Diceros bicornis minor: one gene and its partners. The protein of the gene in region 1 interacts with the protein of each later gene in a pairwise test. Links are inferred from orthologs where the notes say so. Each region holds a gene or a part of one and is shown in the gene's direction. Other genes may lie near its edges. The genes, in order: PNMA1, SEMA4C, MCM7 and ATP5PO.

The links.
Region 2: the proteins of PNMA1 (region 1) and SEMA4C interact in binary tests that used the Homo sapiens proteins (3 or more experiments, as listed by UniProt). The two-hybrid records come from large-scale screens. The link is inferred for Diceros bicornis minor from reciprocal best matches to the Homo sapiens genes PNMA1 and SEMA4C.
Region 3: the proteins of PNMA1 (region 1) and MCM7 interact in binary tests that used the Homo sapiens proteins (3 or more experiments, as listed by UniProt). The two-hybrid records come from large-scale screens. The link is inferred for Diceros bicornis minor from reciprocal best matches to the Homo sapiens genes PNMA1 and MCM7.
Region 4: the proteins of PNMA1 (region 1) and ATP5PO interact in binary tests that used the Homo sapiens proteins (3 or more experiments, as listed by UniProt). The two-hybrid records come from large-scale screens. The link is inferred for Diceros bicornis minor from reciprocal best matches to the Homo sapiens genes PNMA1 and ATP5PO.

What each region holds. Positions count from the first base shown.
Region 1 is NC_080763.1:21,878,207-21,885,705, reverse strand, and holds PNMA1 (paraneoplastic antigen Ma1), read left to right. Parts: upstream 1-4,497; 5' UTR 4,498-5,174; coding exon 5,175-6,236; 3' UTR 6,237-7,017; downstream 7,018-7,499. Other genes in the region: MIDEAS (mitotic deacetylase-associated SANT domain protein), read left to right, coding at 61-238.
Region 2 is NC_080779.1:15,759,060-15,766,981, forward strand, and holds the start of SEMA4C (semaphorin-4C), read left to right. Parts: upstream 1-4,910; 5' UTR 4,911-5,338; coding exon of another isoform or gene 5,339-6,107; intron 6,108-6,274; coding exon of another isoform or gene 6,275-6,511; intron 6,512-6,671; coding exon of another isoform or gene 6,672-6,752; intron 6,753-6,986; exon of another isoform or gene 6,987-7,023; coding exon of another isoform or gene 7,024-7,175; exon of another isoform or gene 7,176-7,883; 5' UTR 7,884-7,919; coding exon 7,920-7,922. Other genes in the region: protein FAM178B, read left to right, coding at 627-659; transcription initiation factor TFIID subunit 4, read right to left, coding at 5,339-6,107, 6,275-6,511, 6,672-6,752, 7,024-7,175.
Region 3 is NC_080765.1:5,668,566-5,676,475, forward strand, and holds the start of MCM7 (DNA replication licensing factor MCM7), read left to right. Parts: upstream 1-4,907; 5' UTR 4,908-5,008; coding exon 5,009-5,039; exon of another isoform or gene 5,040-5,322; intron 5,323-5,753; exon of another isoform or gene 5,754-5,939; intron 5,940-6,212; coding exon 6,213-6,292; intron 6,293-6,641; coding exon 6,642-6,806; intron 6,807-6,985; coding exon 6,986-7,110; intron 7,111-7,184; coding exon 7,185-7,365; intron 7,366-7,681; coding exon 7,682-7,819; intron 7,820-7,910. Other genes in the region: TAF6 (transcription initiation factor TFIID subunit 6), read left to right, coding at 192-572; AP4M1 (AP-4 complex subunit mu-1), read right to left, coding at 921-1,175, 1,330-1,441, 1,593-1,643, 1,880-1,924, 2,208-2,302, 2,404-2,510, 2,651-2,704, 2,810-2,876 and 7 more. UniProt on the Homo sapiens protein: Acts as a component of the MCM2-7 complex (MCM complex) which is the replicative helicase essential for 'once per cell cycle' DNA replication initiation and elongation in eukaryotic cells.
Region 4 is NC_080766.1:34,363,935-34,371,697, reverse strand, and holds the start of ATP5PO (ATP synthase subunit O, mitochondrial), read left to right. Parts: upstream 1-4,756; 5' UTR 4,757-4,827; coding exon 4,828-4,878; intron 4,879-5,271; coding exon 5,272-5,322; intron 5,323-6,592; coding exon 6,593-6,703; intron 6,704-7,763. UniProt on the Homo sapiens protein: Subunit OSCP, of the mitochondrial membrane ATP synthase complex (F(1)F(0) ATP synthase or Complex V) that produces ATP from ADP in the presence of a proton gradient across the membrane which is generated by electron transport complexes of the respiratory chain.

The sequences.
Region 1 (7,499 bases):
CACGTGGCACGGCGGGGTGGGGACTGACCTCTTACCTGAGCCTCCCCTGCCCGGCTCCAGGGTGTTTTACAAGGTGAAGAGCCGCAGCGCGCACATGAAGAGCCACGCGGAGCAGGAGAAGAAGGCGGCTGCGCTGAGGCTGAAGGAGAAAGAGGCCGCGGCTGCCGCGGCTACTGCGGCCGCCGCCTCTGCGCACCAGCCGGCCCTGCGGGAGGAGAGCGCGGGCGAGAGGGGCTGAGGCCTAGGGCTCGGCGGCCGGGGAGCCAGGGCGGGCCCCTGCCCCGGGCTCCCGGCCCTCCCTGCACCAGCTGCCAAAGCGCCTGCAAGCACCCCGCCACCTCCAGAGGGAGAGAGGAGAGATCCCCTGGACTTTTCTCTGAAAAACGAATAAGACAATAAAATAAACGGCTCTTTTATTTATAAAGGCCCCAGGAGCAGTGTTAAGGGCTGCAGGATCCAGTTCCTCTTTGCATTCAGTCTGTCAGGAGTCGTCCTTATGCTTTCCTGGAACTGGGACAGTCCCTGCTCGCGGGGCTGCCCCTCTGGAGGGGCTCTAGCCGCTGCCACCGCTGCCTCTCACAGTGGGACCTCTGCTGCCGCGCAGTCTCTTCGTTTCCTCTTTGTTCTTCCTGCGCCCCTCGGTCGCCATGGAGAGCCAAGCACAAGCTCACCGCTCTGCCCGCCTCTTGCAGCATTATTCCCCCTCCCCAGAGGACCTCGAAGGCTGCACAGGCCCTGCCCCATGCCCCGGAAAAAGACTCCCTTCGAGGGAGTGTGGTGGCCGTCTCTGAGAGGGAGCTCTGCCTGGCAGGCGTGCTGTCCCCTGCACGATAATGTCCAGGCCTAAGCTGCTCCAGTGACCCTGTCCTCAGAGAAACCACCTCTCCCCTGGGAAGGAGGCTATGAGAATGCCTGGAGGGAGAAAGACTGAGGACAGGTGCCTGTCCCTTTGCTGCTTGCTAGCAGCCTGCTGGGGCTAGAAAGTTTTCTTAGCTGTTTGGGGAAGGCGCCAGTGTTGCGGTCCAAGCTCTCAGCCTGCTGGAGGGAAGGGAGCTGTGCAGAGGATGGAAGCTGCAGGGCTAGGCCTGAGGGAGCCTTTGATAAGCTGTGGCTTTTCCTGCTTCCCACCTTTTTACCAAATACCTTTGGGCCCTGGAGGCTGCTAAGGGAGCTTAGCCCAGGCCCAGCCTGCTCCTCCTTGGTGCAAGTTCCCTTCCTGCCTCTGTCCTGCCCTTGGCAGCTGCCACCTAACCCTACTTCACCTGGTCTAGTGCTGACATCCACAGCCTAGCCCCCAGTCCTGCATGCTGGAGATTTCTGGATCCTTCCCTGGGAGGGGAAGGTCTCCTAACCAGATTGGACAGGAGCCTTCATTCCTTGACTTATGTCATTTGGGAGCTATTTATTTATTCTTAATATTTAATTTTTAACATCCTCTCAGGGACCAGGGGCTTCCTGCTTTCCAGAGGCCCAAGTGCATTTATCCCAAAACAAGGCACCTTCTTGGCATCTGCCCCATCCCCCCATTCCCAAGACTCTAAGGTCCCTCGCCTCCTTGCTGTGGAAACTGGTCAATAGGAATGATAGTAGCACTGAAAGAGGGTGGAAAGGTGGAAGGTGTCACCAAAGCCGCACAGAGACTGGCAGGAACAAGGGAGAGCAAAGACAGTTCTTGTTGCTACCTCTTCTCTGGCTGTACTTTCAAATTGCCTGAGGGGATTGGCTGGAAGCCAGGATTCTGGTTTTGTTTCTGTCTTGAAGAAGCCATATTTGGCATGGAGTCACTGAAGTGAAAGGGCTGGAAGGTTCTGGAGGCCCCTTCACTTGCCAGTCTCATAGGAGGGCTGTTATTGTTTTGCTCTGTTGTGTAAGTTCTAAGTGAATGCAAGTATATGACAGGTGAGCATGTTAGGAAGGAGCCAAAAAGTATTCCTTCTGCTGCTCCCTATGAGATAGTCTAAAGGCATCACGTTGGTCGCTGGGAGTGGGGAGGGAGTTTTGTTTCTAAACTATGCACTATCAGGTATCTTTCAGCATTCGTTTATGCATTAATATGGTTCTATAGGACCCTAGCTATGGGAATACAAAATTCTTCTCCCCCCAGACTCCTGGATCTCCAGCTTCCCAGTTAGTTTCCTCCATAGGCTTCTACAAGCTCGATGTCCCAAGATTGGAAAAATCTAGTATGCCCTCCAGAAACAGAAGGGTAGCAAATTTAGGCTTTCTTCTAAATCACTTGTGTAATATGAGTGCCTTCGCAGCTTCGCCCCAAAGTGCTACTTATGTTTCCCAAGGTTTTTTCTATTTAAACCGTATTTAGTTTCAGGCCCTGTTATGGACATGCGGTAACAGAAACCTCCTTCATCTAGAGTGACTCTCCTCTTCTAAGCTCATGGAGACCAGACCAGGTGAATGAAGGTGGAGAAAATCAAGATGGCACCTCTCTATATTAATCTCACCAGAGACCGTATTTTAGAAGGGTTCATGCTCCAGGATGGATTTATATTTAGAATGCAACGTGCAAGTTAAAATGTTTGGAGGGCAGATGAAGTTGTGGCAAGTGACCTGCCAATAAAGTGGGTGCAGCCATAGAAGCTGGCAGAGGTCTATCCTTTATGGTGCTTTCTCCCTGTGAACACATGAGGCTCGTCTTTTGTATTTTCTTTTTCTTTTTTACTCTATTTAGAGCTCTTTGCTTTAAGAAGTTAAATGACAAACAGCTCCAGCTTTGTAATATCCTCCCCATACCATCTCACATATCCATCTCCCAGCCTCCATCTACACTCAGCTAAGGGCATGAAACTAACCTAGTGCCTGTGTCCCAGACCATTTCTGAGGTCTCTTACCCACCCAAGGAGACAGGGCTTCAGCACTGTCCTCCATGCCTTCAGCAGCCCCCCTCACAGCTAAGGTACACCCATCCCTTCTGCCACCCCACCTCCACCCCTGACACAGAGGTCGTGTGCTGCTTATGTCTAAAGGGATCCCCTATATTAAACTGCCTCAATGACCTAACCTCTTTCTTATGTGCCAGATGTTAAGATGAAGGAGGAATACAACACATACTCAAGCCTCAGCTGTTTAAATATGTTTTCTCTGGGGCTCGCTTTTCTCGGACGGCATTTATTACCAGACTGGCAAGCCTAACTCTTTAGGTTTACAAAGAGTATGCATATTTTTATAAAACAGTTGTATGTCCTCCCCATATTTTGCTGTGTTAATATTTGCCTCTAACTAACAATTTGCAGCTGTTTCACCTTTTCCTCATTTGTCTCTAAGTTGAAGGCCTTGTTGGAGGGGACAGCACAGGAACAGCCTTGACAGTCTGTAATTAGTGTACAAATATTTTAATAGCATATAAATAAGTATATTCCTTTTATTTTGAAAAAAATGATCAGACACTGCCTTTTGTGTGTTTGCTGCCTGTGGCACCCTTTTTTAAAGACTGTTACATATTAAAATAGTGTACATATATATAAATATTACCTCTTTTGCTGTACAGTTGTGATAGACCAGACTGAAGATTTTATTTTTTGTGTGCTTTTTATAAAAAAAAATTAATACACTAAAGAAAATCTTGCTGATGTGATTGTAATGTACCTATGTAACTTATTTACTTTTGAATGTTCTTCTGTATCTTTAAACCTTTTATTAAATAAGGTTTTAAAAATTCAGAGTTGAATGCTGTGTTCTTTGGGGAGATTTTCACCATCTGGGATTGATGTAGGTAGGCCTTGTTTTGCTTGCAGGGGATTACTCGACGTTTTTGAATTATAAGGATTCTGTTTTATTAGCCCATTGCCAATGATGCCAGGACAGAGGAAATAACACAGTAGCATCTGCCTGGCTGCAAAGATTACTGAATAGATACAGATCTTTTTATAAAATTTTAGACAAGAAAGTCTCAACTCAGTATCACACAAAAACATGTAAATGGCACACTTGCAACGTTTTCATTTCATTGGGATGAAATATGGAGGGTGCAGAGTGCGATCAGGTGGCACAGGGAAGCTGCGGTATTTTCACATGCCGCATTGACTGGCTGAATGAGTGACATGAGTAGACAAGTCTGCCTTGACGGATGCATTATCAACAATATCATCTTAAATCCACTCCAGAATTATATTATCTTTTAAACATGGTGCTTTGTAAAAAAAACTGGAAAATGAAAAACGAAATGCACCATCACAGAAACCAGTGCCCACAGCCGCTCGCTGGCACCATGGCAACCGCTCGACCCCTCCCCCCCACCCCCACCCCGCGGGCCGCCGCCAAGCGCAGAGCTCCAGTCGTCTGAGCCACCGTTGCCATGGCTACGCTCCGGCAGGCTCCGCCCCGGGGGCGGGGCGGGGCGGAAGCCGCTCAGGGGGCCGGCCCCGCCCTCCACTGCGGCAGTCCCGCCTCGGCTGGCCCCGGGTCTGACGAGTCCGTAGCCGAGCCGCGCCAGCCCGCGCGCACCGCCGCCCCTGTCCGCCTTCGCTTCCGCCACCTCTAGCCTTGCTTCTACGTCCTTCTCGCGCCTCCGCTGTGTCCTCGGTCCTCCGCGTCCTCGCCGCCCACAGGGGTTCCTGCACCCACGAAGAAGCCGCTCGCGGGCTGGCTCCGCGCCACCGCTGCACATCAGGACAGTCTCTCCCTCCGGAGGCGGCACAGTCCTCGCCTGCAAAGCCGCCGCTCCTCGCCCGCCTGAAAGCCCGGCTCCGACCGCGAACGCCTCATCGACTCCGGGAGCAGCAGCGAGTGCCCGGCGCCCCGGCTGCACAGAGGAGGCGGCCACGCCCCGCAACCACACCCCGGCGGCCTCTCCAGCCCCGCGCCTCCTGCCTTCGCCACCCACCCTCGCTCCGCGCCTTCTGCGCTGCGACACGACATCCTGCCTGCGGCCGGAGGACCCCGGCCGCGGACCCCGGCCAGAGACGCAAGATGGCGGCGGCTGAGTGACTGACTGACCGAGCATCCCCACGGCTTCGCTCCGAGAACGCGCCGACGCACTGGCTTTGGGGGGGCAGCGAGAGGACGAGAGCGGGACTCTGATGTCGTTTGTTGTGATTGCGTGAATCTTGCTTCCCGCGGGCATATTGGGGGAGAGTGTCTGCTGTTGTCCTAAGTCCTTGAGCAAGGGAGCCATAGTCGAATCCGTATTCCTAGCGTTAGGGTCCTTGATAGTTGGGAAAATGGCGGTGACACTGTTGGAAGACTGGTGCAGGGGAATGGATGTGAACTCCCAGAGAGCCCTGCTGGTCTGGGGGATCCCAGTGAACTGTGATGAGGCTGAAATCGAAGAGACCCTCCAGGCTGCGATGCCCCAGGTGCCCTATCGAGTGCTTGGGAGAATGTTCTGGAGGGAAGAGAATGCGAAAGCAGCCTTGTTAGAGCTCACTGGCGCTGTCGATTACGCCGCGATCCCCAGGGAGATGCCGGGTAAAGGAGGGGTCTGGAAAGTGGTCTTTAAGCCCCCGACTTCCGATGCTGAATTTTTAGAAAGGCTGCATCTCTTCCTAGCAAGAGAGGGGTGGACCGTGCAAGATGTTGCCCGTGTCCTTGGGTTTCAGAACCCCGCTCAGGCCCCAGGCCCAGATATGCCAGCGGAGATGCTGAATTATATTTTGGATAATGTTATTCAGCCTCTTGTTGAGTCCATATGGTACAAGAAGCTGACGCTGTTCTCAGGGAGGGACATCCCGGGGCCTGGGGAGGAAACCTTTGATCCTTGGCTGGAGCACACTAATGAGGTTATAGAGGAGTGGCAGGTGTCTGATGGCGAAAAGAGGCGGCGGTTGATGGAGAGTCTTAGAGGCCCCGCCGCTGATGTCATCCGCATCCTCAAGACTAACAATCCTGCGATAACCACCACCGAGTGCTTGAAGGCGCTTGAGCAGGTGTTTGGGAGCGTCGAGAGCTCTAGGGATGCGCAGGTCAGATTTCTGAACACTTACCAGAACCCGGGAGAAAAGTTATCTGCTTATGTCATTCGTCTGGAGCCTCTGCTGCAGAAGGTGGTGGAGAAGGGGGCCATAGATAAAGATAACGTGAACCAGGCCCGTCTGGAGCAGGTCATTGCCGGGGCCAACCACAGTGGGGCCATCCGAAGGCAGCTGTGGCTGACCGGGGCTGCGGAAGGGCCGGCCCCTAACCTCTTTCAGTTGCTGGTGCAGATCCGCGAGGAGGAGGCCAAGGAGGAGGAGGAGGAGGCTGAGGCCGCCCTCCTGCAGTTAGGCCTGGAGGGGCACTTCTGACTCCCAGGAAACCGGGTTTCAGTGCAGACCTGGATCACAGCTGCTTTCCTTGTCTCTGGGCTGTCTTACAGGTGTGTCTCTTAGTAGTAAAGACTCAGCCGTGTTCTGTTTTCTGGGGGGGAAGTCAGGTCTGCGTATTTATGTAACATTAGTAAAATTGTGCAAGCGAACACCCTGAGCTGCTACAAGTGAGTCATGCTAGCTATAATTCCAGGTAAAGGCTTGGACACAAGTGCTCAGTGCAAGCAGTCCTAGTAGCATCATCATCAGTTGTGAAAAACATGTGAACTTGTGACAGTTCCCATCGAGGTAATTAAATGTGAAATTGCATGTTCAGATGTTTAGCGTAGGGCCTGGCTAACACAAGAAGTGTTAAGTAAAAATGTGAACTGTTGTTACTAATATCGTGAATAGTTTTCGTGTTCACTGTAAATTGTTCCTGATTTATATTAATGGAAAGAAATGTGAATTAATTAGATATTATTCAACTTTATAGTGCAGATTTCTTATTTTTCATCTTTAAACATCTGAATCAGTTTGATTGAAAAGATTTCTGAGACTATAAAATGGGGTGTTAGAAAAATACTGCAATTATAGAGCTGTGTAAATCAGAATTTTTCACTGTTCAAGATACAGATATAAATTGCATGAACCAGTTACGGTATCCATTCCATTTCAAACCTTTGTCATTGAACAGTTCTCCTTGTTCATACTGATTCTAAGCATTCTAAATTTGAAGTTATCAAATACATGTATATGAATAAAAATATTTTAAAAATTCTATTGTCTTCTCATTTTTCTGACATATATAAAAATTTTCAGTGTAATTAAGATCTATATCCTCTTTTCTTAGAAAGACTTCCCCTGTCACTAAAAAATCAAACCTCAATTATTTTATCTTTAAGCTTTATATCATATTATGAAAGTTTAAATTACAATATCTTTTAATGTACTCAATTTTTGCCTGTGTTCTATAAGGCAAGTGTTAGAAAGCTAAATAGACATAAGTGAATATTAACTTACTATAACATGTTAGAAAATCCTGAAATGGGGTTTAGGAGTTTATCGAGCAATGCTTTTTCTCCCCTTTGAAATCCCTTATCAGCTGAAAATGTTTGTTTCCATGCAGGCGTAATAACTCATCATACCTGTGAAACGAGTGTTTCAGTTTTAGAGTGGCCATTTTATATCAAGAGGATATAAAAAGAGAAATATGGCTTAATAACATGTCTCTTTGGCTGCAGAGATTTAGTGACTGAAGAT
Region 2 (7,922 bases), on another chromosome or scaffold:
TGGCAGCCTCCCTTCTGGCCTCAGTCCCTCTGACAGGCTGCACCGGCTGGCTTAGGAGCCCTTCCCTCCCCTAGCCCCCAACCCTTGATGGAGACAGCTGGGTCTGGTGAGAACTGTTTCTCCAGCCCCTCTCCCAATGCTCCTCGGCTCCCAACTCGCCTTTCCTGTGACTTCTCTCTGCCTGTCCTTCCCCCAGCAACCTCTGACTTGGGGCTGACACATCAGCCACAGGCTGTGGCTTGGGTCTCAGATTTCGCAAGTCTCTGAGAAAGTTGGAGAGCAAACCTCACCCTCAATCCCCAAGGAACTAGATCCCACTAGTCTCTGGTGGGAAACAATGTGTTTGTCATGAAAAGAGAGAAAAGTGATTCGTGGCCTGGCCAAGCCAGGGGGTAGGCCCCACCTTCCTTTCACACCGCCCTGGGCCTGCAAGCAGTGAGTAGAGGGAACCCGGGCAGGGCTGTGGTTAAGTGGCCTGTTGACCTGCGAGTCCTCACATGGACCATGAGCCACAGGACTCCTGTCACTCCGCGCCTGGCACAGAGGAGGCCAGTAGAGGATGGTGAATGGACGCTGGGCACCACCTGGGCCCCGGCTATCACCTTATGTTTTTCTCCTTGACACAGGCCCAGTACTTCAGCCCCTGGAAAGACATCTAACAGCGTGGCAGGGGAGGCCAGGGCTCTTGGCTCTGGCAGGAAGTGAATGGGGCCTTGGGAACTGGAGGAAGCGAAGAATGGAGGCCAGAGGAGGACCAGTCTGTTGAAGCCAGAGCCTGCCTCCGCCGTCCCTGACCCCACCGGGCAAGGGATCCCTGGCTCGGTGCCTAGCCTGCCTTCAGCTCTCCTTCCTCTCCCAGCCCTCTCCTCTTCACCCAGGGTCTTTATCTCCACAGCTCTGGTTTCCCTGGGCCTCCTGGGTCCTCCCGGGCCTCCCTACCCTCCTTCTTCTCTCTCTGTCACCAGTGTGAGGTTTCTTTGTGCACATTAAAGTCTTATTTCAGCATCTGTGGTTTAGAAGATTTCCTTCAATCCCTATCCTGAGGGCTAACGCCCAGTGTCCAGTTGCCTGACGTCTCTGCTCAAGCTTTCACAAATTCTCACCTCCGACAGCCGTGTGACCGGGTCTTCGGCCCTGCCCCCTGCAGCAGAGGGCTGTGTGTAAATCCTGAGGAAGAGCAGTTATTCCTGTGGCCCCAGAGCTGTCAGACACCCAGAGAGCAGGGATGGGGAACATTTGTTTGGACCTAGTCTGGGACCACTCCCCACTGGCCGCCTCTACCGGAGAAGATCTACAGAGTGAGATGGTGGATTGGGGCTGTAATTACACTTAATTCAGTTTATTGTTAAGCTCTGAAATCAACTCCCCAGACTTAGGAGCGAGGGGGCGGTGCCAAAGACAGTTCCAGATCCTGCTTTTGCTTTCCCTCAGCCCTAGCCAAGATCAGTGTCGTGGGCCCTGGTCCCTGATGGGGTGCTGGATGTCTTTGACCTGCCCGCCCTGGTAAGTGAGTAGGCCCTCTGTACCCCTAGGAGATCCCTGGTATCCCCTTTCTCCCTCTGCCCACTCCTCCAACCCTGAGAATCCATTTCTAGTCTCTGGCCCCTCCTGACTCTTTCTGGGTTGGGATGGGTTTTGCAGGGGCCACCAGAGGTAGACAGGAAGTAGCAGAGGATGGCCTGCGCCCACCCCTCAGCTCAACCCGAGTGTCCACCGATGGAGCTCCGCCACGGCGGGTGCTTATGACTTTCTGTGTGTGTGTGTCCCTCTCTTTTGCGCTTTCATACCACCGGGGTCAGGGTAAGGCAGGCTGAGTAGGAGCGAGACTCCCACCAAATAAAGGACTTTCAGGCCAAGTGGCTCAATTTGCAGACCTGAAATGTAGCCTGTCACTTCCTGGGGCTGTTTCAGACACAGCTGCCTCCCTCACTGGGTCCCCAGAATGCTGGGAGAGAGGGTCATCTATAATTCAGAGGGCACGAGCCCAGGGCAGAGTGCTGGGTGCAGTACGGGACATCTCCCTGCCTTGCAGCCTCTGCCAGGTGAGAGGCGGAACCCTCTATCAGGGTGACTTGGGTGCCCAGGTCACTTGACTGAGAGTTCTGGTTTCTGTTCCTGGCCACCTCACGGGCCCCCTTGGCTGGGGGCACCACTGAGGCCCCAGCGGCATCAGGTAGGCCTGAGATGCTCCCATAAAAGTGCGGCGGCCCTGGTGAGCCAGCCTCCTTCACCCTCCCTCAGGGCTGCCCCTGCTTCTGACACTGCACATCCTGACAGTTAATCCTCAGCTATTCAGTTTGCTCTGGAAACCTGGAAATCACCTTTGAAATTTCCCTTCTTTGTTCTCACTGCCAAGGGCAGAGAGGGAGTAGGGAGACCTGAGAGGCTGAACTGGGGAGTTTCCAGTTCTCAAAGCTGCCCCTACTTGGCTCTGGGAAAGGGATCAGGCTGTCCATCAGTGCAGACATCTGGAGCCCTTCTCCTCAGGCCTGGATCTTGTGCACTGCCCTGCCTCTCACTCCCCAAACACACTGATCCCCAAGAGAGAAATGGACACCAAGGAGAGAGGAGGTGTGGGTGACAACGCAGTCCCTCCAGAGACCTGGCTGTAACCTGAGCAGAGAGGTGCACTTTGAGGTCACCCAAGGGCACACGGCATCCCCTGGGACGTGTAATAGGCCCTCGCTGGAACTGGCTGGGAGCTGACCAGATCTCCTAAAACTAGTCCGGGACCAGTGAGAGACTCGGCCTCCTCCAGGCCAGGAACTGCTCAGTGGTGCTGGCGACTTCTCTGCTTGCCCGTTCCAGATCCCTGAGCCTCTGGGGAAAGGCTGAGGGATATCCTGATTGAAGCCACTGGAAAAGCATCCGGGGCTGTGATGACGGATGCTTTCCTGCTTCCTTTGGTGATGGTGGCAGGGAGGGGTTGGGAAGGGAAAGGCTTCCCAGGTGGGCGGCTTCGATAACTCTCCTTGAGGAGGAAGTGGAGAGAGGAAGCCCTTTTCCTATGTCCCCGCTCACCTCGGTCCCCAGGCCCTCAGAAAGATCCCTGAGGGGTGGCTGACCCAGGCTTTCTCATTTCCCTTCTGTGGGTAATCAGCAGCCCTGGCTCCCTTGGGAGTTGCTCAGGCATGACTAGAGAGGCCCAGTGTGAACGCTGGGCCCCTCTCCTGTCAGAAAGCTGCCTCACGAGAGCTAGGGGGTAAGGAGCTCAGCCGACGGGCACCATGGTGCATGACAATGTGTAGGGGAGAGAGGGGGCCTTGCTTTTCAGTAAGACTCCTGGGCCCATCTCTAGGGGCTGCCCTGAACTGCCAGTGGATCCTTACAGGACCTCAGAAGGCATTCAGCACATCTCTGTCTTTTCCTTGACTTGGCCACAAGCTGTTGAGCAAATGGGGCAAGTAGGTGGGTCTGTCAAGGCCTATGGGCTGAAGGATGGGTACCTTCCATCTTAGAATATGCCAGACAGGCCCTGGGGAGACTTGATAGGTACATGAGCCTTTTTTTTTTCCTTAGTATTTTTTTTGTTAATGTTAAGACCCAGGAATTCTCATTTTGGACCAGTTGTGTTTCTATTAAAAAGTGTGAATCATAAGCAAGTAGTCATGCAGGAAACTTATCCCCTGCCCACCCACCCATGGAAAAGGCCAGTGCTAGAAATGGACAGAACACAGCCGGAAGTGAGCAAAGGTAGAAAAAGCAGGGAAGAGGGGCTGCAGCCTTATCTTGGAGGAGCGTTTGGGAGGGAAGGGCTCCCAGGGTCTGTTAGCAGGAACAGAGAAGCCAGCCCTGAGGTACAGAAAACTCTCGCTGCCAGTGAAACCAAACCACCTTTTGAAACTTTCCACTGGGGCCATCTTGCAGGTGGAGCCAGGAGCTCAAGTCTCCACCTGGTAACCCTTACTCCTAGAGGGTGGGGGTGGGGGTGGAGGTAAGGCTTGAAGGTGAGGAAAAACAGCAAGAAATAAAGTGTTTGGGGCCTAAAAGTTGTCAAGAGACACTGTGACTTAGTGGAAAGACAGAATTGGGAGTCCCAAGACCTGATTTAACATTCTGACCTTACTAATTATCTACCTGACTCGGGCAGCTTGCTTAACCTTTCTGAACCTTATTTTATCTATAAAATGGGAGAAACAATACCTGCTTTTTAAAGGGTGGTCATGAGGATGGAGTGAGAAAATGTACGTGAAGGCAGGTTGCAAAGTCTCAAGCACAGAACAAAGGTGAGGGAGTCTGCAATCAGTTGACCTCCACTTAAGAAGACACAGGCTCTAATGTGGATGAGGGGTCCCACACACCTCCTCCTTGCCTGTCGGCTGAAGCAGAGAGCCTTCCCTGCCCACCCCGTGCTATTGTTAACTGGCTTGCCCCCTATCTCCAGCATCTCCAAGGGCACAGCTTTTTTTCTGGTGAAAAGGAGCTGGGAAATGTGGCTTTGGCCAGCGTGGGAGAAGGGGCCTTTATGTGTATTAGCAAAGACCCAATTGTTACTGAATCCAAACTGGGCTGCCTTTCCCAACTATCTCCACTCCTCTTCTGGGCTCCACTTTTCAGATGCCAAGTTTTAACCCAGAACAAAAGCTCCTGTTGGGACTGATTTATAATCCAGATCTGCTGACAGGCCCTAAAGTGTTCCTCCCCTCCACCACTGCACTGGGCTGAAAGTTACCACGAAGCCTCAGGGCCTCCAGTCTCTGCACCTCTGTCCGTTGCTCCCAGCCGGGAGGTGGCATCTGTCTCCAGGTGCCAATGGGGTGGCCTCCCTGGGGTTCCTCTGCCCACCTGCCCAACTGCGAGGACCAGCTGGCAAGGAGGACACTCCAGCGCCGCCCAGGAGGCCAGAGCTACAAGTTACTTACAGGAGCGGCTGTGGGCGGAGGCTGACGGCTCTGAAGGTAGTAGATCTTCTCCTGCCTAGCTCCCCTCAGCCCCTGATCTGAACATCAGGGCTCATGTCACTTGTTATTCAGCCTTCTAGTGGCACCAGGAGTCATTTCCTGGGGGTGGGCTCTGTGCAACAGGAGTGGAGGGTTGTCTTCACCGGGAGCTGGGAAGGGGCACTGAGCAGGGTCCCTCTGCGTGGAGGGTGAGAAATAAGGGGCAAACTGCCTCCGGCGACTAGGGGGTCTTCCTGGCTGGTGAGGCCCGTGCCAGTCTGACTGCAGGGGCCAGTGGGCGTTGGGGCCAAGAAACGAAGCAGAATTTGGAGCCAAAAGACAGACCACTCTGGTCCGCCCGAAGAGAAGCCTCGCTTTCCCCTGCGCTCCTCCCTCGGATACTCGCCCTGGGGTGGCTTGCTTGCGTTCGTTCCTGTCACCGCAGCGTGGGGAGCCCCTCAGCCCCATTCCCGAGCCCGGCCGCCCAGCCCGCGGTTGGCCTTGGGGGACACTTCAGAAAGACCGGGTGAGTCCGATTCCCCCATGGCGATGCCCGGAGTCCCTCCCCCGCCCCACCTCCCGGCGCTGTGGCGCAGACCGCGACTGCGAGGCGCGGGGCGGCAGGGCACCAGCAGGGGCTGGGGATCCGAGCCCCCGGCCCGGGAGCGGGGGGGCCGGCGGGTCGCAGCGGGTCGCAGCCCCCTCCTGGGCGGGCCTTCGCGTCCCGCCCCCGGCCTCTGCTCGACCCCCCCGCCTGACGTCAGGGGGGAGGGGGCGGAGAGCCGCGGCGGTGGAGAAAGAGCCGGCGCCCGCCGCGGTGGCGCGGGGAGCCCGAGCCCAGGGGCGCCGAGCCGAGCCGGGCCCGAGGGGCGGTGGCAGAGGGGCAGCGGAGGAGGGCGGGCGAGCGCGGGCGGGCGGCGGCGCGCGGGTAGGGGCGGACCGTGGTCGGAGGCGAACGCGAGGGCGGCGCCCAGGGATTCAAGCCGCGAAGAAGAGGTGAGTGAGGCCAGGGCTGCGCGGGGCCGGAGCCCCGGGGCGGCCGCTTTGTCCCCCGACTCGGGCTGGGGCCGCCGCACGCGCGAGGGACAGGGTCGGGGGGTGCAGGGAGCGGCAGCGGCGGGGACAGCTGTCCGCCCGAGATCCTTCGTGCGCCCCCCGCGGGCTGCCTCGCGGGGGCTCGGGAGCGGGGCGAGCAGTGCCCGCAGCCTTAGGGTCCCGAGGCGCGGACTAGTCAGGGGGAGCGGGGCTGAGGGGAGTGGGAGTCCCTCGTGCTGTCTCGTCGGCGGCCGGGATCCTCTCCGGGTCCCTGAACTGCCCCCGGCTCCCCCACCCCCGACGGAAAGTTTGGGGCGGGCTTGGACTGAGGCCGATGTTGTGGGATCGGATTTCCCTGCCGCGGCCCCTCGCCGGCGCGCTCGTTCCGCTGGGAGGGCGGCTTGTCCTGGAAAGCCAGCTCCCGACCTGAGCCGGGCCGCCCGGTCCCCGGCTGGAGCGCTCGCCCTGCAGCCGCGGGAGCGCCGTTCGCGGCCCGCCGTTTGGGGTGGGCCAGGGTGGGGGTCGCGCCGCCTGGGTCCCGCACCCCTCCACCCCCACCGCCGGGGCTGCCCCAGTGTCCCCCGCCCTGGGAGGAGCTGGGGGTGGGGGCAGCGCTGTGCGGGCAGATCCTCGGAGCGCGCCGCGGGGTCCGGCGGGGGCCTGGGGTAAGGGGCAGAGGCAGGGCTGGGGGTGTGTTGGGGACGAATGGGGTGGGGAACGTATCCCCAACCCCCCGCCCTTCCCGCGCTGGGGTACTAGGCCGACAGGGGGCGTCCGCAGGCCGGGCTCCGCCACGCTCCCAGCGCCGCCGCTTTGTTTGCATTCAAATCCCCGGAGCTGGGGGAGGGGAGAACCCGGGGGGCCAGGAACGGGGACCCTTTGTTTTGGGGTGAGCAAGTCCCCAGCTTCTGTGTCTGTGCCCGGCATTGGAGAGCCAGAGCAGTGGAAATTAATGCAGAGGGCCTGGCCAGGCCGGAGTCCCGGGGGCGCGATCCCGGAGTTGGGAAGGTTCGTCAGACCCCGCGGAGCGCAGCAGGCGCCCGCCCTGCGCGGGGCGTCCCCCGCGGCCCAAGAGGAACCCCTCTCGCACTCGCCGCCCGGTCCTCACTGTCTCCCGCCCCCGCCTGAGAGCGCCGCGGGGAGAACCCTCTTTAGACCGGAGCCGCCTCTGTTGTCCCACCGCCCCTCAGCCCGAGGGCTAGTGTCTCCTAGGAGGCTGTGCGACGAACAGGATGAGGCCCTGGTCATTTCCACGCCCATCCCGCCCACTTCCTGCCTCCCTTCTTGGGCAACAAAGGGGCCTCGGGAAGCTGGGCCCCTTCGGCTGCCGGCACCACTTCAGCCCTGCTGATGTGGAACGGGGTTTTGGGCTCTGCCTGGCTATTGTCTGCGCTGGGGGAGGGGAAAGGCTGGGGCCAGGACCCCCGCACGCCTGCTGCACCAAGTACCCCCTGGGGAAGGCTTTTCCAACCGCCTACCCCACCACTTGCCCCCTCACCCTGCTAAGGGGTTTGCGTCCCAGAATTAGATCTTGGGGCAGGCTGGAGCCCCAGTGGGGGCAGGTCTTGCTTCCAGAGGTTATTTTAAGAAATCCTCGAATCTCTTAGGCCTGAGTGTGGGGGATGGGGGTCCCCTTTTTATTTTCTCAAACAACTTCCTGTTGAGGAGAGGGAGTGGGGGAGGGCCTGGAGGCCACAGAGCGTTTCTTGGAGTGTCCACTCCTCCAGCTGATTCCGTTCCTCCCCCTCCCCTCAGGGAGACCCCGTGGTCCTGTGGAGGCTTGTGGAGGGGCGGAAGGGGAGTAGGTCTCTGCTCCAAGGACAAGGGGAAGGGAGGAATTCATGGGGGCTCCTGGGGAGGCCTGATCAGGTCTTGTGTCTGTCAGTGCCTCCTGGCATGGGCTTTGTGGGCCCCCTTCCAGTTTGTTTTCTCTGGCTGTGATTCTGACGCTGTCTTTTCCCCCAGCAGGGCAGCTGGCCTGGAGCTTAGAGCCAGGGGTGTGCCATG
Region 3 (7,910 bases), on another chromosome or scaffold:
AGGGGCACTTCCCAGGGGCCTGCAAGGCCGTAGCTGCTCATCCTGAGCAAGGCTCTTTCAGGTGGCAGCAGCCTACAGGCTCAGAGGGTGGGAACAAATTATTTGGTCTGCACAAGTGTAGTATTCCTCCAGGCCTGGGGAGTGGGGAGGGCCGTGAGGCAACCACACTGCCTTTTCTTTCTTCCCCCCAGGTCCTATCCCTCAGCACCTCAGCCCCTGTCTCAGGCTCCACCACCACCTCTCCTGTCACCACCACGGTCCCCAGCGTGCAGCCCATTGTCAAGCTGGTCTCCACCGCCACCACTGCGCCCCCCAGCACTGCTCCCTCTGGTCCAGGCAGTGTCCAGAAGTACATCGTGGTCTCTCTTCCCCCGACAGGGGAGGGCAAAGGAGGCCCCACCTCCCATTCTTCTCCAGCCCCTCCTCCATCCTCAGCCCCCTCCCCACTTGGGAGCAGCGCTCTCTGTGGGGGGAAACAGGAAGCTGGGGACAGCCCCCCTCCAGCTCCAGGAACTCCAAAGGCTAATGGCTCCCAGCCCCCCGGATCTGGCTCCCCTCAGCCTGCACCTTGATGCTGTCACACATCTGCCGACCTTCTCCTCTCCCCCGATTCACACACACACACACATACGATGGGTGGAAGGAAGCAGTACTCTGCTTCCCCCACATTACTTTCTTTTTAGATATTGTACAGCCAGTTCCTCAAAATAAAAGTTTGATTTGTAAGTTCTGATCCACCTCAGTCCTTCCTGGGTCAGATACCACAGGAGGGTCCAACTAGTCAAGCCCACCTGGTCTCTAGGACTCAGGACTCTTCCAGCCAGATGCATAGCCACGGGCCAGAAGGCTGGAAGAGACAGTCTGGTCCTCTCAATCCACAGACCACTGCCTTTGCTGTCTGCGTCCTCGTGTGGGGAGCCTCAGATCCGAATGACATAGGCATCGCTGTGGCTTAGGTGTCGCACCCACTTGTGGGGGTTGGCATTGCCGCAGGGTCTGAACACCAGCCTGAGGAAGCGAACCTGGAGGCCGGAGCATGTGTGCCGGGGAAGTTCAAAGGAGAGGCTTGCGGGGCCCAGCCCCAGAGGAGGGGCTGAGGTGGAGGGCCCTTGGCCAGGAGGGCCAGGGAGGCCTGGGACATCCATCTGTGAGGGGCAGAGGCAGGGGGAGGGGTGCTGAAAGCACAGAGAGAAAAAGCAAGGGAAGCCAAGTGGCCAGGAAGCTGCCCACGCTGGCGGGGACAATGCAGCGTCTGCGTGAGGAGGGATGGGTCAGGGGGCTGAAAATGGAGGTGGGAGGAGAGGGCCTGAGAGGATCAGCAGCTGATACCTGGAAAAGGCCTGAGAGCTGAGAGCCTCCTTGCACCCGAGGCAGGTCCCAGTGAAGGGCTCCCTCAGCCAGCTCTGCCTTCTGCTCTGGGCTGCTCAGCTCCTGAGATAGGCTGGAGTTTGGAGAGGAAAGGTGCTGTGCTCAGCCTCTGCCTTCATCAGGAGCAGGCCAGCCCCACCCCTAGCTCACTCCTCCCCAGTGCCATGCCATTGTCCAGGGAAGCTGGTAAAACCACCCGAGCCCCCACAGTGCACACGACTAACCTGACCACCCCTCGTGGCAGGGGAAGATGCAGCCTGACGTTAAGAGCCTGGCTGCAAAGAAAGGAACAGAGTCAGCCCCAGGAAGGTAGTGATTTGTCCCCACTCTTCATTAATGTCACAATTGGAGTTCCACACAAGTGCCACCCCATCCCCTTCCCAAACTCTAGAGCCTCTAACTAAACTGGATTCCGAGGCTGGTGGCTGTATCTGAAGGTGGGAAGCAACAGGTTACTGGGCCTGGTCTCCTACCCCACAGCTGAATTCAGCTTGGCCACCCCGACTTGTACCTCTTTGGGGGCAGGTCACATCGTAACTTCAGATAAACCTGGAGCCTGGGTGAGAGGGTACAATACCGTTACTCAGGCCATACCCTCCTGGCATCTCACCATCCCCTACCCAGGGCCCCCACGCGTGGCTGTGTCAGTGCCCCAAGAAGGAGAGAAGGGCTCCATTAGCCACAAGTGTTCATGGGGCTGAGTGCACTTCGGGGGAGGATGCCTTTTTCCAACTTGTACCATATTACCTCGACCACCACCACTCCACCATAAGTCTTGAGAACATATAGGTATCAGCTTGGATTCCAGAGAATTTCTGGAACAGGGGAAATGGTCTTACCTGCCTGAGCCTCGGTCCCACTGCACAGAGGGAAAGAGCCGGAAGGGGAGCGGGGAGGGGAGGTCATCTGAGAGTTGGTACCGCATCACAGTCAGCTGAGGCCAGAGAGGAATGGAGGTCAGTTTGGTCTCCTCACACTTGAACTGCCTCCCTTCCCCCCAGCAGATGGAATATCTTAGGCCACCCCGATCCTGACCTCGCCCTGAGGTGGCTGCAAGCGGAGGATTCGATGAGACTCAAACTCATCCAGATGCACCGAGCTGTGAAATGAGACCTCATCTACCCGAATTCCTGGCCCATAACCTGGAAAGAGAGAAAGAGCTCTCCTAAGCCATATCTGGGGAGAGAAAAGCAGGGAGGGGGGAGTCTGTCTCTAACTTCACTCCATGAAACTTTTGGCAGTGACCTATACACCTAGGAGAGAAAGACCCCTCTCTCCTCACCTCTCAGTTCTGACTTCCCCACACAAAATTCTTCTGTCAAGCCGATGCACATCTCTGTCAGAGGAAAGGACATCAGAAAAGGCCACCAAATGCTGCCATGCACACCACCAAGGAGCCTGTCCCAAACCCCAGCCTGGGGCCAGCCTGCAGACTTCTCACCGGAGCCGCTGGGAAGAAAGCTCTTGAGTCGGATCTCTCCCTGCACATCCACCTTCAGCAGCGAGCCCTGAGAGTGGCAGGGAGGTTAGTGCCCAGAGGTGACCTCCCTAACACAGTTTCCAAATACCATCTGTCCTCAGCTCCAGGGCTGGGGGCCTAAACTTACGTTAGATGCTATCAGTACGGACAATCTCTCCACCACATCCAAAAACACTTCATTCTTTTGGCTCTGAGGAAGAGAGGGGATTTGGGTGGTTGGAGGCTGAAGGGCCTGTGTTCTAAAGTGGACAGGCAGAAAGGACAGGATAGTGGAGGCCAGGGCCCTGGGGTGGGGACACGGGGGTAAGGGATTTATCCAGCTCTGGAGAGGTGAAAAGAGATGCCAGGATCTTAGACCTGGGGTCCCAGAAAAAAGCCAGAGGGTCTGAACCCATCAGTCCCTCCCTCACCTGGTCGGAGCGGCTGGACAGGACAGGGCGGCTGGCTGCGCTGCTGGGGGCCACTTTGCTCTGTTGGGTCTCGGCCCCAAACTGTAAAGCACCCAAAGCAATCAATCCTCAGGTTTGATACTCCCTGCCAACCCTCCTCCCTCCTTGTCCTCCTCTCTCCCTCAACTGACCAAGCCAACGCTGCTGAGGTCAAAGAGGCTGAAAGGCTTGCTGACCACGGCCTCTGTCTGGATGAAGTTCCTCAGCATCTCTGTGGATGTGGTCTGTACATAGCCATAATCCTATGGACGGGGGAAAGACAGTCTTTGAGTGGTCAGTGGAGGGAGGGGGTGAAAATGCGTGGACTTAGCCTCGCAACCACAGGATATATCTTCAGGGATCAGGGGACAGTGAGGGAAATCCTTGGAACTTACCAGCACTTCATCCAGGAGTTCATAGACAAGAGCCACGTTGCGGGAGATGGTCCCCTCACCCAGGGAGCCACAGTAATCGCCCAGGAGAGTGGCTAAGCTGAGGAGACAGGATGGAGTGTGCATATGCCCCTCCTCTCAGACCCCCACGCCCAGGTGCCCAGGCCTGCCCTCCTCACCGGGACAGCAGCTCTAGGAGGCTGAAGGGAGAAATGTTTTCTGAAGTCGTGGCCACCAAATAGAGGCCGCTGTGTCGGATGTGAATAAAATGACGGTCATCGTGGTGCTGAGGCAGAGGCGGGGTGGGGGGGGGGGAGCATTAGGAAAAGAGAGTTGTCCTGTTTAAGGGCCCATGAGCCTGGGGCTCCTTTCCTGATTCCCCTACTGACTACCAGTGTGACTTCAGGCGAGATATGAAACCTCCCTAGAGCCCACCTTCCTAATGTGTAAAGGGAGTTAATGATGGTACCTACCCCAGAACTGCTGAGGATCGAGACGTGTGAGCACCTGTGCCTGCTATATTGTTACCACTCAATAAACTTGCGTTAATATTATTTGGAAGAATGCACTCCCCCGGTGGAAGCTCTCAGGGAAACATCCTGGGAGGAGGCGCCCCCCGCCCAGGCCAGCCAGGCGCACCCCCCAGTACTCGCCCCCTCCCGCTCCACGAGTGGTTACCATGACAACCGGGGACTCGTCTCCGGGCAGTCCCGTCAGCTTCCGGTAGAAGAGCTCAGCCACATCCCGGCCGCCACTGTCCCCGCGAACTGACCGGGTGGAAGGACAGCTAAGGAGCGGGCGACACAGGCTTGCTCTGGGGCACTATTCCCACCCAGCCCCTCCCCCGCGCCCCCCGGGTCAAGGATACAGTCCTTGTAGATGAGCGGGTCCCCTTTGGAGGACAGAATGAAGAACTGGGAAATCATAGGCGTTCGGAAGAGTAGACAAGGAGACAGCGAAAGTTGGGCCTACCCCGCCCGGCGGCCGCGGAACAAAAGGACGCGCGTGCTGGCCCTTTAAGAGCGAGTCTCCTCCGACCGCGGGAAACCCGGCGCCCGCCCCGCCTCGCCTAGTCTTTCCCTCTCGCCACCCGCGCCGCTTCCCAGTCACTCAGTCCAGGCTCGCCCGGTGATTGGCCGAGGCGGGGGCCTGCGGCGAGTGGGGAGGGTGGAGGGCCTCCTCTCCGATTGGTCCGCACTCAGTGGCGCCGGTCACGTGAGGGGCGACGTTTCGCGCCAATTTCGGTTGGTCGGCTGCAGTCCGCCGCGCGGACGTTCTCTGTGATCCCGAGAGTGAGAACCTTGAGGTCGCCAACTGCTGCTGCACGGCCCTCGGCAGTAATGGCGCTTAAGGACTACGCGCTCGAGAAAGGTAAGGGTGTGCAAGCCTGGCAGCGGCGTCCGGCCAAGACCTGTTGGTGTGAGCTGGGGTCCTGGGGGGCCGGGGGCGGCGGGCGAGACCAGAGCCAGGGTCGGGAGGTAGTGGGTTGAGGCAGACGGTGCCTGGGAGGCGCGCAGGGTGCTGAGGGCGGAGAAGAGCTGTAACCGTGTCAGGGAAGGGAGGACGGATCGGGCTGGGGGTGCGGGCAGCCTGGCTGGGGCTCCAGAGGGGAGGGTCGCGCCCAGGAGAGACCAGGACATCAGGGGACCCTGCTTAAGGCTCAGGCACCCCCGGGCCCGTTTCCTCCGCGCCCTTAGGCACTCTGAGTGCCCGCGTCCTCCCGAGACGCGCCGAAGCCCCGGGGGTGGGCGGTCTCGGGCCGCTGCGCGCCGGGATTGGCCATTTTAGGCCAACCTCCAAGCGGAAGTGAAGGCGGGCGGAAGTTGCGCGACGAGGCTGGAGGGAGTGTCGTGTGTAAACAGTGTCCTTCCGCGCGGCGGCCTCGGAGAGAGCTACTGAGGGCGGGGGCGTGCCTGGAATTGGGGGGCTTAGCGGGAGGCCGAGAGGGGAGATAGTGGGGGAGTACGGAGTGTCCCTGGACGAGCTGGCCAATCGCCGGACGGGCTCCCACCGTGGGCGGAGGAATCCCGGGCTGTGAGGCGGCGGCATCGGGGCCCATGTGCTTCTTTGTTTACTAAGAGCGGAAGCAGTGGCGGGAGAGCGGGTGGAGGACGGGCCTAGTGGCCTCGATCCCAGAGAGAGCAGAGGTTTAGGGGACCGAAAGAAAAGGGGGAGTCATAGGCGTGGAAGAAAAGCTGAGAACCTTGATTGCTGAGTGTGTTGCTGGGTGTGAGAGGCCTTTGGGATAGGCTGCAAAGGTTTCTAACTAAGGTAGAGACTGGAATTCCCCTGGGGGCGGGTGTTGGGTAATACTCCTGCCAGGGGCCCCTGATTCTTCCCTGTTAAAAACAGACTTGTTAAAAAGGAGTTCTGCCCAGTTTGGGGAGAATTATTTAGGCTTATTTAAATGTTCATATAATTAATTAGTTTACAGATCTTGTTTTAAATGGGGTGGGTTTCTTAGATTTCTATCAGAGGGGTTTACGGTAAGGTTATCTGAAAGAAAGAAAGGTTGATCGTCGTGATTTTACGTTTACATTATAGAAAAAGTGAAGAAGTTCCTACAAGAATTTTACCAGGATGAGGAATTTGGCAAGAAGCAGTTCAAGTATGGGAACCAGTTGGTAAGTGTAAGACTAGGTAGAGGGAATGGGGTGGTTGCTTAAGGAGCTCTAAGAGGTGGCCTGGCTTATTTCAGCAGTTACATTTGTCGGTAAGGGACACAAATTTAGCACCATACCTGATACTGGTAAGTGAATAGAAAGCTACGTTCATGATAACTAAGGTGTTTTCAGGAGTTGGAAGGCTGTCTTTTGGGGGCTGAGAAGTGAGTTTTGCTATGTCTCACACCACTCTTGCTCTCCTGTGGAGACCTGGAACCTATGTGTTGAGCTCACAGTGATGGGGTCCTTGCCTGTGAACACTGGTGAGCACAGTCATCTTAGCTCTGTTGCTGTCTCTTCCCCACCGCAGGTTCGCCTGGCTCATCGGGAACAAGTGGCAATGTACATAGACTTAGATGATATAGCTGAGGATGACCCTGAGTTGGTGGACTCGATTTGTGAGAATGCCAAGCGCTATGCACGGCTCTTTGCTGATGCTGTACAGGAGCTGCTGCCTCAGTACAAGGAGAGGGAGGTGAGTGGTTGCAGAATAATGCAGGGCAAGGAACTTAGGTTTCTGTTAAAAAGTTTCTCAGATACTGATGGTTTCTGAGCTGGCAGAAAGAGGGGCAGTGATTTCTGCTTGGTGCCTTTTATGCTGTCTTTTTCCCGTTTTGCCACTCATTTTTCGTATCTTCCTCCCTCTTCCTTTAGGTAGTAAATAAAGATGTCCTGGACGTTTACATTGAGCATCGGCTGATGATGGAGCAGCGGAGCCGGGACCCTGGGGCACCGCGAAGCCCCCAGAACCAGTACCCTCCAGAACTCATGCGCAGATTGTAAGTGGTCTCAGTGGGGAAGGGTGTGAGAATTTATCCTTCAGGACCCTGCTGATGACTATCTTTTCCCTTAGTGAGCTCTACTTTCAAGGCCCAACCAGTAACAAGCCTCGTGTGATCCGGGAAGTACGAGCTGACTCTGTGGGGAAATTGGTAACTGTGCGTGGAATCGTCACTCGCGTTTCTGAAGTCAAACCCAGAATGGTGGTGGCCACTTACACTTGTGACCAGTGTGGGGCAGAGACCTACCAGCCGGTATGTATGGAGCAAGAAACAAGCACATGCTTAAATTTGTTCATTTTGAACAAGAAGTAATTTTGTCTGCTGGTGTTTGTCATTTTCTCTGTTGTAAAGTATGCCTGTATATTCACGTTTTATTCTTTTTCGGGTATGTGGTGGTCTTTTCTGTTCATTTTATTCTTGGTGCCTGTTGATATTGATGCAGAATAGTTCAAGATGTTCTTGACAATCCATGGTATCTGCCATGAAGAAGAAATATGATTTGAGTGACTGATTCTAAGGGCCTCGTTTCCTTCTGATTTCCTGTGTTACTTCCTTTCTTATATCTTAGATCCAGTCTCCCACTTTCATGCCTCTGATCATGTGCCCAAGCCAGGAGTGTCAGACCAACCGCTCAGGAGGGCGGCTGTATCTGCAGACACGTGGCTCCAAATTCATCAAATTCCAGGAAATGAAGATGCAAGAACATGTGAGTTTGGGGTATGTGGCGCAGGGTCCAGGGAAGGTGGAGCTTGGGAGGCTACTCGAATCCTGCAGTCACTCGTGGACTAGAAGAGAGG
Region 4 (7,763 bases), on another chromosome or scaffold:
ATGCACCAAATCTGAAGGATAAAGAGTTTAAAATCATAGGGTCACAATACCTGGCATCCCTTTGTCCATTTCCTTCAACACTTCTTGTTCAAAGCCTGATCAGTTCTAGCCCAGAGGCCTCTGCCAATTGGCAGGACTGCCTAAAACCCCCTTTAACAGGGAAATCCATAGACCTGCATAGGAAGCTGCCAAAGTCATTTTCCTAATGTTGAGGTTTAAATGGAAAGGCAAGCTGCATATGAAGTTCTAAATCTGGGCTGCCGGACTGTGGCCCCGAGACAGCAAGTAGGTCTGGTCTGCTATACAGGATCCAGGCACAGATCTCAAAATTAACTCAGAGGAGAAAAGAACTAAAAGAAAGAGAAAATTGTTGCAGAATTTACTCTGAGATAAATAAATACACGAACAATGCAAACATTTCCCAGGTCCTTTCAGTGTAACAAAATGTGTAGGGAAAACCTTTGCCATGAGGGTACCATCCTTACTGTGTATTCTGCAAAGCTAAAGGAAACGTCCCCCAGGCTGGTGGAGTCTATGTCGAAGCTAATCTTGGGAAGGAAACTTGGAGGTCTTCTGGTCCAACTTCAGAGACTAGTCATTCACTCAGCTTCATGTCAGAAGCTGAGTGTAATCGAAACCAGAACAGATGGATCTCTCTTTAAGGGGCACATTGTTAAGTGACAGGATCATGGCATCCTTTTTTTTTTTTTTCTGATTATGGTAGCGACACATACTCATTATAGAATAATACAGAATGTAGTTTGTAATTTTTTCCTCGGTGTCATTAAATATTTTTCTATAGCATTAAATACTTTTTGAAAATCTCAATGTAATGGCTGCATAATGTGCCATTTTAAAAGCCACTCTCTTATGCTCAGACATTTGTTTCCAATTTTTTGCTACTTTATATTGAGTGAACATTTTGCACATTAACTTTCATCCAGATTTCTGAGTTTTAGAAAGGGGAAAGTCACTTCATTTTTTTAAAACATATGCAATTAAGGGTCTCATGACACCCACGCTGCTGTTTTCCATGCCAGCATATGGTGCCTTTGTAGACAAAGTAAAACAGTGAGCAATATTTGTTTTGAATTGAAAGTCAGCATAAAACAAAAATGTGGAGATTCAATGTCTGGTTGTGTTATCACTGTAGCCCTGCTCTGTGGCCTTGGGCAAGTCCCTTTGACTCCATCAGCCTCAGCTGTTAAAATAACTAATTTGTAAACAATTTGAGTTTGTACAGAGGGAAAGCATGATAAAGCAGAGTGTTGAGTCTTTTCCCTTCTGCTATGAAACAAAATTCTTTTTTTGTGTGTGTGAGGAAGATTAGCCCTGAGCTAACATCCATTGCCAATCCTCCCCTTTTTGCTGAGGAAGATTGGCCGTGGGCTAACATCCGTGCCCATCTTCCTCTACTTTATATGGGTTGCCACCACAGCGTGGCTTGACAATCGGTACGTATGTCCGCTCCCGGGAACTGAAGCTGCAACCCCCGGGCCGCCAAAGTGGAGCACGCGTCCTTAACCGCTATGCCACGGGCCAGCCCCACAAAATTCTTTTTTGCCTTTCCAAATACTCTATTAGCAGAAGGTATGGCAGTCACACAGCTGCGAAATTGCTGCCAACTGATCCCTTGTGAGAGTTTGCATCTGAGACCTTGGCCTGTCCTTGCAGGGCTCTGCCTGCAGTGAAATTTCAGCAGGTGCCCAGGAATCCAAGAGCAAGCAGAAAGAAGGTAAGTTTCAGCAGCCATGAAGTGGGGGAGTACCAGACAACCTACATCTCAGAGTTATCCTGAATCTCAAAATAAAAATGAAACCATATATGCACAACAACTTAATAAACCCTAAAACTCAAACAACCACAAACTGCTATTTTGGTGACACGCAAAAGGCTGGAGTGGGAATACAAAGGAAATAGAGAGCATCACCCTGCTGCTATGCAACTGTACAATTTACTTATAGTCAATTATCAACGCAATAGAGAGTTTAGAGTTTTCAAAGTGTATCAGGCCCGAGAACTTTTAATTTGTATTACATCTATTAACACCCACACCTTAGGAAACACAGGTTTTGTGGTTTGATTTCACATAGTACATGAGGTCTACGAAGGCAAGCACTTTGTCTGGTACCCTGCTGTACACTCAGGGCATGGAACTGCTGCTTACATATATTAGGTGCCCAATAAAATGTGTTGCATAATGAATATACTTTCCATTCAGCTTATTTGAAAATAGCCTCTGAAAATAGTTTGCAGAGTAGAGTGAAACAAGGGTTTTATGCACGGTGAGTGAAAGTGTAAATTGGGCAAAACTTTTGAAAAGCAGCTTGGCCTCATGCATCAAAGACTTTCAAATGGCTCATACCATCTCACCACGTTGTGCCAGGTCTAGGAACCTATTTGGAAGTTATCCTAAATATATATATAGAAATGTTTGTGTCTAAAGATGCTCAGGAGATGCCATATTGTTTAAAATAGAAAAAAAATAGAAGCCATCTGAATTATGTTCAAAAATCATTGAATAATTAAGTTACAGAATATCCACTTGATGGGTTATCTTGCAGCCATTAAAATGACGTTTATAAAATTTATATAACTTGGAAATATGCTTATATTATACTGTAAGCACGTATTCACAATTTGTATATAATTTAGCATCCTTTTTTTCTCTAGTATTAAGGAAAAGGGCGAGATACTAAATTACATACACATTATGAATCAGTATGCGTAACAAAAACAAACATATAATACAGAACAACGAGTGCCACTCTGTCAGGCAACTGTTCTAAGTACTTTACATGTATATTAACTTCTTTATTTTTCCTAACAACCTACAAGGCAGGTACTATTATAATACTCATTTTATCGATAATAAAACTCAAGCACAGAGAAGTTATATAACTGGGGAAGGCCATCGAAGGAACTGGGATTCAAGCCTGGGCAGTTCGGGCTACTGCCTGAAAAAATATTGGGAGACAACACACCAAAGTATTGACAACAGCTGCCTCTGGATGGTCTAAAAGAGGGCAATTACATTCCTTCTCCTTTTCTGCATTGTTACAAGTTTTTTGTAATGATGAGAAAACTGCACCCTAAAAGAGTAAATTAATGAATTAATCTGTGTTCCTATAAATAGATCTGAGCAGAAAAAGAACTTTTTAATTGACCATGGGACCCCATTATCGCAACCAGGGAACTCTGACCCGTGCCCTGAAGGCCAATTTTCTTCGGTACGCAAGAGAAAACTAGAGTAAGCTCCATTTAGGGGAAAATAGATTGAAATAGGTTGTTTTTATGAATGCAGAGAAACTGGCCAAGGCTAGCGTTGGGTTCTCAGTTCGTCACACTTGCCCAAACCCCAGTTCTCCTATTTTAGATCCGATTCTCAGATAATCACCCTGCCCTATCCAGCGTCAAGAATTTAGGCTTCAGAACCTCACACGCCCACAACCCAACCGGTTAGTGCTGTACTCAGGCAAGATGGGGCAGAGTGACGGCGGAAGGATGGTGGGGCAGTCGCCGCCCAGGTACTGGGCACGTAGAGTCCACTCCTGGAGTTTAAGGTTAGTTTTTAATACAACACGAGGAACTGCGTTTGATACACCCTTTGGCGTGGTAGGAAGAAGGCATAAAGATGCTAATGATGCTAGAGATGAATGTGAAATAGAACAAATGCCACCATATTTATCTAAATGGAAATTATAAAGCTACGGACAATAAATTCACTCTATAGTGAGGGCCGCTTAGTCAGTAACTCAAGGATTTCCTTTTCAGGTGCTGTGCGAGCCCACTACGCCCTTCCCAGCCCTGCGCGACCAGCTTTTACCACTCGCTTCCAAGGACTACAACTCCCAGCCTGAGGGAGGTCACTGCGCATGCGGCCTGACAACCTACGCCTACACTTCCCAGGGGGGCCGAGCGGCTACGCTGACGTACGCATGCGCCCTCCCGTGTCTCTCTCCAGCTCGGGTTTGACCTACAGCCGCCCAGGAGAAGATGGCTTCCACGGCAGTGTCCGGGCTGTCCCGGCAGGTGAGAGAACGGAGGTCCTGAAAGCCAGCGGGAGGATCCCTCCTGGGGTGACCGGTACCAGACCCCTAGTGCCACGGTGCGAGGGCACAGTCGAGGAAGCGTGGCCGCCGTTTAAGGTCGTGGAGCTCAGCGAGTGGGAGCAACGCAAGGAGGCTCCGGCGGCCCCGCTTTACCCGCGGGGCCGTGGGCGCGGGGCTGCGCGTGCCTGACCTTGGACCGTGGACCGTGGCGTCCTCCCAGCACAGCCTCGGGAAGCAGCTGGCTTGAGGGGCACAGGAGAGGGCGGCCGGCTTCCCTGGACTGCGAGAAGAGAACGTGGCCCACCCCTAGATCATCTTCCTTTGTCGTTGTGGTCACACCTGGCAGGGGTCACTAGTGATGCTAAGGAATATTTTTGTAAAGTCGTATTTCACGTTCTTATAAAGAAAATAGACAGAAAAGCTTAAATGAGTCGTCCTTCGCTGCTCAGCCAGTAAGGGGTAGAGCCGAGATTGGAACTCCGAGTCTCATAGAAGATGGAGCTGGGAAGAAAATTCGTGCTTTTTATGGTGCATGTCAACACAGGGCTGTACATAGCATGACCCCTTACAGGTTACGTAAGTTTTCCATAGTGTTAAAAAGTCTTTTAATCCTCAAAACCAGTTTTGGTGTAGTACACTCCAGAGCTAGTTATTTGAAGGTGGCCTGTACACTCTTGCAGGTGCTTTTAAGACTAGCGATTCCAACTCTGTTTCTTGGTAGACAAGATACCACCTCTCAGAATTAGGGCCTGTTCTCACATCAGAGTCTGCTGCGATGCTCGAAGGACTGGTCTTTATTTTCAGAGAGCATTTGGATTCTAAGAAGGTACATCTCTTGCAGGTCATGACTGGAATCCTCCCACTTTTTATTAAAATACTGTTCAAAGGTGGTAATATACATTCCAAAAATCTTGTTAAAATGTTTTTGAAATACGTATTTCATCGAAATTAGTGTTTTCTCTCTCATACTGGTGTGCTAGCCTGTTCCTGGCTGACTAGGAAGTTAGCGGGAAGGCAATTTCCTCAGCAAGTTGGGCTGATTCTTAGTAGGGAAATTTACTCATGGGTAATAAAGAGCAGCTCGCTGTCATGCAATCTATGCAATGATGCAAAGAAACTAATCATTTAAAAGTCATAGTTAATGTTTTTTATTACTGGTTTAAATGCAGAAATCCTTCCAGTAACCTTGTTTTATCTACTTTCCTTTATTGTTTTAAAGGTGCGATGCTTCAGTACATCTGTGGTCAGGCCATTTGCCAAGCTTGTGAGGGTATGTTGACTTATTCTTTGGTAATTGTAAAGCAGATAAAAGTGTGTGAGTCAAACAGCAATATAGTTAGGCATGGACTTTTGTATGGTTACTCCCTAAATCTTTCTGCACGATTTGCCATTCCTGAAATGTGATGTGTGCTTAGGGGAATGGAAGGGAATAATGTGGAATGCCTGCTATATAACAGGCCCATGCATAATTTTTAAATATGAGAATTTCTGGGGCTGGCCCAGTGGTGTAGTGGTTAAGTTCACACTCTCCGCTTCGGAGGCCCGGGGTTCACCAGTTCGGATCCCGGGTGCAGACCTGTGCACAGCTTGTCAAGCCAACTGTGGCAGCGTCGCATATAAAGTAAAGGAAGATGGGCACTGATGTTAGCCCTGGGCTGATCTTCCTCAGCAGAAAGAGCAGGATTGGCAACAGATGTTAGCTCAAGGCTAATTTCCTCACAAAAATAAGTAAATAAATATGAGAATTTCTTAAAACCTCATAACAGTAATGGGAAGTAGCTGGTCTTCCCATTCTGCAAAAGAGAAAACTGAGACTCTGGGAAAACTTGCCCAGGGTAACTCAGCTTGGTCTTAGCATCGGAACTAAATCTTTCTCATTCAAAGCCTAATCTTTTCCACTACAAGCCCACAGCACCACTAAGCATGTATAGTCATACACTGATGGTAGTGTGTAGGAAAAAAGCCTACAGGTTATTGTGAAAAATAATTCCAACATCAGGCACTTAGTAAATCGCTAAAGGGCTCCATTAAACTGAACATTGATGGGGAGGCTCTGTAAGGGAAATTTATAGTATTACTGTGAAATGTACAAAAGTATACTTGTATGTGTTTCATAAAGGCTTGATTTCCTGGCTCTAACATGTTCAAAACTGCCTTCTCTCAGTGTTAAAAACCTCCCATACTTGGAACTGAGTAGTTATTGAGTTGAAAGGAAGCGTAAGCTCATCTCAAAATTAACATAGTTAAATTACAGATAGTTAGAGCTGAAAGGGACTTTAGACACATGTTTCCTAAGCCCCTTGTTTTAAGATGAGGAATTGGAAGCTCAAAGATTGGGTGATCTGGCCAAGGAAACATCCCTAATTTGTTTGAAAATTGCCATTCAGGATAGCTCTTGGATGATATGTTTAAACTGTTTTGTGCTATAAAAAGATGTATTTTTAAAATTACAAATATTTAATTCTGCAATTGACAGCATAATATTGTCGTAACTGATCTTCCTTTTCCCTTGCTTCCCTACCCCACCCTTTGTATTAAAGCCCCCTGTTCAGATATATGGTATCGAAGGTCGCTATGCCACTGCGCTTTATTCTGCTGCATCCAAACAGAATAAACTGGAACAAGTAGAAAAGGAACTGTTGCGAGTAGCAGTAAGTAGCTTTCCTATTCATTACTTACTAAGTTCCCATTGTATATTTTTCCCTTTTGTTATTTGACTCTGCATCCCTAATGAGGTATATCCTAAGAGAAAAAGAACTGCAAAAAAAGAAAAAGAAAAACCTATTTTCTATAATCATATTGATAGTAGTAATACTGGGTGGTATTGTTCTGAACCTGTTGTATAATAGATGCAAACAGATACACATAAAGATATTAATATTAGGAACCAAGATTTCGGGCTAAGAGAAGAAACAGAAATAGAAAATCAAAATACAAGATGGTAAGTTAAGAAAAATTGCCATTCCAAAAGAGAATTAAAAGTCACCTTTGAAAATGTATGCTTGTATTCCAGGTACTTCCAAAATAGCCTTTAGAATATATTATGATTTTGTTTTACTGGGAATTTATTTTCCTTTTCTTTCCTCAGTTTTAATTATTATTTTATTCCAAGATGTGAGGGGAAAATGACTGAGCAGGGCGTGCTGGGCAGCATTGTAAAGGTGTATGAGCTCCATGATGATGCTAGAGAACTGACAGACTGTGAGGCTACTGAGGAAAGAAAAAAAAAACCTCGCAGGCTAGTTGCATAGAATAATACTTAACATGTTTTGTTCTTTTTCATTTTGAGCTTTTATTGGAACTTTTGTCCTAACAGACAATAATTTTAGCTCTGTATTCCTTCCATTATCCAGTTAGGTCTGCAGATAATGCCTGCGGTCTTAGTTGGTGTGGTCAACCCTTAGGATCCTCACAGAGCCAGCAGCCGTATTGTTGGAGACACTTGGTGGTGTGGGGGGATAGCAGGAGCAGACAGGATCTCACACAGGCATTTCTGGGGGTGATAATTATTGCCCACTATTTGTCATTTATGCCCATTTTAAACCTGAACAGTGGCATTCACAATGGAGAGCAGGACCTGAGTTGTGGACATTAGAATGGGGTTTAACTAAAACCTGGAAGTCAAGATGTGGAGACATAGAAGAGAGGCAATTACCTTAAGACTCTTTATAAATGAAAATTAGCTATTTTTTGGCTCTGAGAGGCAAGTGT